2 linked regions of the Saccharomyces cerevisiae S288C genome follow. The gene in region 1 interacts genetically with each later gene. Each region holds a gene or a part of one and is shown in the gene's direction. Other genes may lie near its edges.

Evidence for each region. A genetic interaction does not mean that the proteins touch.
Region 2: mutations in DFG5 (region 1) and ANP1 together harm fitness less than expected from each alone (positive genetic interaction), as found in Saccharomyces cerevisiae (2 studies listed by BioGRID).

The regions. Positions count from the first base shown.
Region 1 is NC_001145.3:744,337-748,094, forward strand, and holds DFG5 (putative mannan endo-1,6-alpha-mannosidase), read left to right. Parts: upstream 1-2,016; coding exon 2,017-3,393; downstream 3,394-3,758. Other genes in the region: BCH1 (exomer complex subunit), read left to right, coding at 1-1,587. UniProt on the Saccharomyces cerevisiae protein: Required for normal synthesis of the cell wall.
Region 2 is NC_001137.3:82,508-86,171, reverse strand, and holds ANP1 (Anp1p), read left to right. Parts: upstream 1-1,619; coding exon 1,620-3,122; downstream 3,123-3,664. Other genes in the region: HYP2 (translation elongation factor eIF-5A), read right to left, coding at 23-496; UTR5 (Utr5p), read left to right, coding at 627-1,127; RAD23 (Rad23p), read left to right, coding at 3,569-3,664. UniProt on the Saccharomyces cerevisiae protein: Involved in the organization of the secretory pathway. Required to maintain a functional Golgi apparatus.

The DNA.
Region 1 (3,758 bases):
TTTATGAGTGGTATTGTACGTGACATTATGATTATGAAAGATAATCGTGCGGATGGAGAATCCCAGAATTTGGTAGAAACACTAATTTTCAATCCATTTACCTCGGGTGAGTTGGAAGATGTTGCCAATAACTTTATTAAACTGTTCCCCTTGGTCTATGAAAAAGGTGTTTATTTAGATGCACCTACTCACGTTTTAAATCCCTCGTTAACCAATAATTATTTAGTGGAAACTTTAGTGGAAATAGTTAGGTTAACTAAGAGTTTGGAAGCATGTCGTAAAATGCTCAAGAAGTTAATAGAAATTCATCCAGAAGCAGTAATAATATTAATTCGTGTTTATTTTGCGTGCGATTTAGAGATAGATGCAGTTGACCTGATCAACGAGCAACTAAATTCCCCCTCTTCGTTCTTAGCCGACGATTCAAAGACTAGCCATATCCAGCTAATCTTCAAATCCGAATTATTAAGTATTCAAAGTGAATTCTTACTGGATGTCAAGAGAGATTACAAGCTTGCTAAGGAAGTAGCCATGGAGGCTGTTAACTGTGCACCAAACGAATTTAAAACTTGGTATTTATTGACTAGAATATACATTAAACTAAACGATATGTCAAATGCCTTGCTATCGTTAAACGCCTGCCCCATGTCACAGGTTAAGGAAAAATACGTTCTTAGAAGAATTGCGCCTATTACTTCAGATGAAAATCTTCATCTGCCATTACCATTGGATGCCTCAATTGAGGAGATTTCGTCATTGAACCCCATGGATGTCCAGTTGGAGCAAAAGTCCGCAGATCCAAACCTAGTCAATCTCTCTGCGTCAAGTTTAAAGTCTACTTTCCAACTAGCCTATAAATTATTGACAGAAATTGTCCAAATAACAGGATGGGAGCAGCTGTTGAAATATAGATCAAAAATTTTCGTTATGGAAGACGAGTACCAAGGCTCCACTTCTTCCATTGATGAAGCAGAAGTTCGCGGTAATGATATATCCAAAATGAGATCAAAGAGGCTATGCGAAAGATGGTTGGATAATCTCTTCATGTTACTATACGAAGATTTGAAAACTTACACCGATTGGCAATCAGAGCAATTGTATTTTGATGCTCAAAACAGTAAATATCACAAATTAACTGTTGAATGGGAATTATTCGGCCTTTGTGCGAAAAGACTGGGACATCTTCCAGAAGCTGCGAAGGCTTTCCAAATTGGGCTTTCCCAAAGATTTTCTCCAGTATGCGCAAAGAATCTATTACAGTTTTACATTGACGAGCATAAGCGTATTAGGAGGGATTCAGTCTCAGCAAACTCCGAGTTAACCTCTTCTCAAATATTGTCAAGTATCAATGACATCGACAGCTCAATCATCGATCTAGTAGTCAAGATTTGTTGCTGGAATCATCGTTGGTACATCGAGTTCTCAATAATATTAATAGATGCTCTGAGTGTTGCAGTACAAGATATGGGCATTACTAAAGTACATAATGAAATTGCCTCTAGATTTTCTGACCCAGTAGCCCAATTGATTGACGATAACATTCTAAATTTTCTGAAGAATTTCACGAATGACACTTTCGATAATTAGAAAAAGATGAATACAATCAATAAAAAGGTGAAAGAAATCAATTAACAAGAAACGGGTTATGTATTTTATGTATGATATCCTGGCATTGTCATGTATAGGTCACCTTCTTGGGGAATTTCCCATTTTCAAGTTATTCTGCCTCTAATGCGATAACCGTAATCTTAAATTGTTTAATTTCTTTTTCACAATCTGAGCCACGCCCGAAAAAAAAACAATGTAATCCGCGTAAAGCGAAACTGAGTATAACCCAAAAATAGAATGTAAATTAATGAAAAGCCCATTTCTCCAAAAGATCAGCTTTACTCAAATATCTAATTAAGTAATTGACTGTGTACATTGTCCTTTATCTCATTTTGAATCACCTTTATTAATTTTTGGTTGTTATATAGGACGAACAAATTAGAACGAAATCATATCCAGAACGCAGATATGATCGTCAATATTAGTGCGAAGATGATCTTATCGATATGCTTTACGTTTCTGTCATTTTTTAAAGCCACTCATGCCATGGATTTGGATACTACTAGCAAAACGTCAATTTGTGATGCGACAGCGTTAATTCAAGGTGGTATGCTGGATTACTATGAGGGTACTAGATACGGTGGTACCGTTGGGATGTTTCAGTCACCATACTATTGGTGGCATGCAGGGGAAGCATTTGGTGGCATGTTGGAAAATTGGTTTCTTTGTGAGAATGATACATATCAAGAATTACTATACGATGCACTATTAGCGCAAACTGGTTCCAATTACGATTATATCCCGTCCAACCAAACGATGGTTGAGGGGAATGATGACCAAGGTATTTGGGGTATTACTGTTATGGGTGCTGTCGAGAGAAATTTTACAGACCCCGGTGACGGCAAGCCAGGTTGGTTGGCAATGGTACAAGCTGTTTTCAACACCATGTACTCAAGATGGGATTCAGAGCACTGTGGCGGTGGTCTGAGATGGCAAATTTTCACTTGGAATAGTGGTTATAATTATAAAAATACAGTTTCAAATGCATGTTTGTTCCAGATTGCGGCGAGGTTGGGCAGATATACTGGTAACACTACATATTTGGAGGTTGCTGAACAGGTTTTCGACTGGCTAGTGGATGTCGGGTATGTGGTTCTTAACGATACTGCAAATGTCTTTGATGGTGCTGAAATTGATACAAATTGCACTGATATTACAAAAATTGAATGGACTTATAATCACGGTATCGTGCTTGGTGGTCTTGCATACATGTATAATGCTACAAATGGAACAGGTGAATGGGAGACCAGTTTGACAAAAATTCTAAATGGTGCTAAATCTTATTTCTTCAAAGATAGTATTATGTACGAAAGCGCTTGTCAAGACTATGGCACCTGTAACACCGATCAAAGAACATTCAAAAGTATTTTTTCTCGTATGCTTGGTCTTACAAGTGTCATGGCTCCCTTTACTAGGGACACAATTGATGATTTGATAAAAACAAGTGCTGAGGCCGCTGCAAAATCATGTAATGGTGGTACAGATGGGCATACATGTGGTTTAAATTGGCAGAAACAAACCAATGATGGCTACTATGGATTAGGTGAGCAAATGAGTGCTCTAGAAGTTATTCAAAATCTTTTAATTCATGACAGGCCAGCTCCATATAAGGAAGATAATGGCGGTACGTCAAAAGGTGACGCGAATGCCGGTATGAACTCATCGACCACTAACGTGCTACAAAACAATTTAAACATTAAGAAAGGTGATCGCGCTGGTGCCGCTATCATCACAGCAGTCATACTGAGTGTGCTAACTGGTGGGGCTGTGTGGATGCTGTTTTAAATGTGTCAAACTAGGCTCAAAAAAATTTTATTGTATTCTAATATTTAGGCTATCCTTTTCTTTCAGTAAAAATGTTTATGTGCTACATACAAAACCCTTCATGATCAAAAACTGATTAAAATTTAGAGAGGAACAATTGTTTTTAAAAAAAATACTAAAAAACACTCACGATGGGGGTCGAACCCATAATCTTCTGATTAGAAGTCAGACGCGTTGCCATTACGCCACGCGAGCTAGTCATATGTTTCTTTCGTCTTTTTCATCTGATGACATTCTAGTGGAACATTTATGGTAAGATACCGATTCCATTTTAAGGATTTCTATACCCTCGAGGAGAACTTCTAGTACATACATAATTTTATAGC
Region 2 (3,664 bases), on another chromosome or scaffold:
CCATGCCATGATGTTAACCGGTTTAATCGGTTCTAGCAGCTTCCTTGAAGGAGATGGCGGCTTCTTCACCCATAGCGGAGATGATGGTAACCATCAAGTCCTTACCTTCATCAAAAGCAGTTTGCAAACTGTCACCCAATTCACCTTCTGGAGCCTTGACATCATCCTTAGTGTCACCGTCCATGTTCATCAAAGACAAGAAACCGTCATCAATGTCCAACAATTGGTATTCGTTTCTCTTGACAACTGGAACTTCCATGTTGTGAGTAGATGGAGACAAATCTTCCAACTTCTTACCAGTGAAGATATCAATGGCAACCAAATGGACTTTAGCGTGACCGTGCTTACCAGTCTTAGAAGTGGACATGTCGACAATCTTACATGGTCTACTCTTGATGACAACGAAACCGTTCTTTCTCAAGGCAGAACATTGCATTGGGTAGGTGGCGGAGGAACCAGCGTCAGCAGTTTCAAAGGTATGTTCTTCGTCAGACATTGTATATATGAGTTGGTATTTGTGTGTGTTTGGGAGTCTATGAGTAATTGGCTACAGAAGTAGAATCGTTAGAAAGAAGGAAAGGAAGCAATTGATAGAAGGAGAGGAATTTAGGAAATGAGGGATTCCAATGTCAAGATATGGCAAAAACCTTGTGCATTATATAATCGTGGAACACGACGATCAACGCGGCCAAAAGCCGATCGACGACGACGACGAAAAAAATTTTTATTACCACTGTTCCTTCACCTTCGAAACTTTTTTTCGGGCGACGGCGTTTCTTTTAGCTCCTGCGGTATGTGCGGTGCGGGAGGTCCCTTGTCGCCTCACACGGACCCGATATAACGCTACGGAATACATCGAGGGGTATGGGTGGATGATATCACTGCAGCAAGGTCTGGGTGTTGCAGAATTTTACCGGCCTTGGCCCCTCAGCGTCCAGCTACAGCGTTATACTACTCCAAGTCGCCGTTCCCGTTTTGCTGTTCTCACCCCTCAGAGAAAATGCCACCAGAACGAAGCCAATGGTCAGGACTTATCGTTACTTATACTGTTGAGCCGGATATATCCGCTGTGCTCTAATACCAGCCAAACGAGAAGGGTAGCGGCAAGAAAGGGTAAACTTTCATGATGAAGTTAGCTAGTTCCTTTTACGATTGCTACTATCTCGTTCAACTTGGCCTGCGCTGTTGATGAAAATAGCAGTGACTGCAGAGAATAGAAATGAACCGGGCTCATCTGGTCTAGTTGCCTTCTTTTTTTTATTTTTTTTCATTTTCCTTTTCTTTTCTTTTCTTTTCTTGTCTCACTATGTTGGTTTAATCAATTCGTAATCCCTTTACCAACGCATTGTGTTCAATTTTCCTCTTGTGTGGGGTCGCCCGCCTTGTCTCATCGTGAAAAAATTGCGTAAGATGAAATCATGAAAACATGAAATAAAAAAAATAAATAAAAATAACTACACGATTCAAAAACGCCAAGATCTGTTAGTAGAGACAGCAAGCATTGCAAAACCATTCATCACTCAGTTGCTAGGCGAGTGTTGGTGCGATTTACCCTCATCATCTTTTTTTCGCTCCATTAAACAGTTCCTTGTGGCTTTCATGCAAAGTGTACGTCCATAATGAAGTATAATAACAGAAAACTCTCGTTCAACCCTACCACAGTAAGTATCGCTGGAACGTTGCTTACGGTGTTCTTTCTCACAAGACTCGTGCTTTCGTTCTTCTCGATATCGCTATTCCAGCTGGTAACTTTCCAAGGAATCTTCAAGCCCTATGTTCCAGATTTTAAAAATACTCCCAGCGTAGAGTTCTACGACCTACGAAATTACCAAGGCAACAAAGATGGTTGGCAACAGGGTGACCGCATCTTGTTTTGCGTGCCACTGAGAGATGCTTCTGAGCATCTTCCCATGTTTTTTAACCATCTGAATACCATGACATATCCGCACAACCTGATTGATCTGTCGTTTTTGGTGAGTGACTCTTCGGATAACACCATGGGCGTGTTACTATCCAATCTACAGATGGCGCAATCGCAACAAGACAAGTCCAAAAGGTTTGGTAACATCGAAATCTATGAGAAGGACTTCGGCCAAATCATTGGTCAGTCCTTTTCTGATCGTCACGGGTTTGGCGCCCAGGGCCCCAGAAGAAAGCTGATGGCCAGGGCTCGTAATTGGCTTGGGTCCGTGGCCCTGAAACCATACCACTCCTGGGTTTACTGGAGAGACGTGGATGTCGAAACCATCCCCACTACCATCATGGAGGATCTAATGCATCACGACAAGGACGTCATTGTCCCCAACGTCTGGAGACCTTTACCAGACTGGCTGGGAAACATTCAACCCTACGATTTAAATTCATGGAAGGAATCAGAAGGGGGTCTTCAATTGGCGGATTCCCTAGACGAAGATGCTGTCATTGTGGAAGGGTACCCAGAGTACGCCACTTGGAGACCTCACCTGGCATACATGAGAGACCCAAACGGTAATCCAGAAGACGAAATGGAATTGGACGGTATTGGAGGGGTCTCGATTCTCGCGAAAGCTAAAGTATTCAGAACAGGCTCACACTTTCCTGCATTCTCCTTTGAAAAGCACGCAGAGACAGAAGCATTCGGTAGGCTCTCCCGCAGGATGAATTACAATGTCATCGGCTTGCCCCATTATGTCATCTGGCACATCTACGAACCTTCCAGCGACGACTTAAAGCACATGGCTTGGATGGCTGAAGAGGAGAAGCGGAAACTAGAAGAAGAGAGAATTCGCGAATTTTACAACAAGATCTGGGAGATTGGATTTGAAGATGTCAGAGACCAATGGAACGAAGAAAGAGATTCAATCTTAAAAAACATTGACTCCACTTTGAACAATAAAGTCACTGTAGACTGGTCTGAAGAGGGAGATGGCTCGGAGCTGGTGGACTCAAAGGGTGACTTTGTCTCACCAAACAACCAACAACAACAACAACAGCAACAACAACAACAACAGCAGCAGCAGCAACAGCAACAGCAACAACAGCTCGACGGCAACCCGCAGGGGAAACCTCTTGATGACAACGACAAGAACAAGAAAAAACATCCTAAAGAAGTTCCATTAGACTTCGACCCTGATAGAAACTAGGCTCGGTTTTTTAGTGACCTACATATGAAGTACGAATTCATATAGTTGTACATATATACCGATAATAATATCAAACCTCTATTCTTTGGTCTTTAACTTTTCTTTGAGTGAATTACAATACCATTGTTATATCAATCACTATACACGGCTCGGTGGCGAAATTGAAATTTTTTTATTTTCTTCTCTTTCATTATGGCTAGGCAAGAAATAGCGACAGCAAAACTTAAGAAAAAATGATAGAACAAGGTCCCATCCAGTATTGACTAGTAGCTAAAGCTAGAAGGTACACTTAGGTTTTTCTCCCTGTTTTTAAGTTTGAACCATTGATAAGGCCGTTCGCAGACAAGCTTGCTACCATCCAATTTTCCTTCCTCTAAAGACTTAATAAAGGCATCTAACTCCACCTTTAAATCACAGATCACACAAAGACAACATACAATAGAAAAATGGTTAGCTTAACCTTTAAAAATTTCAAGAAGGAAAAAGTTCCTTTAGATCTGGAACCTTCAAACACAATTTTAGAGACCAAGACCAAGCTTGCT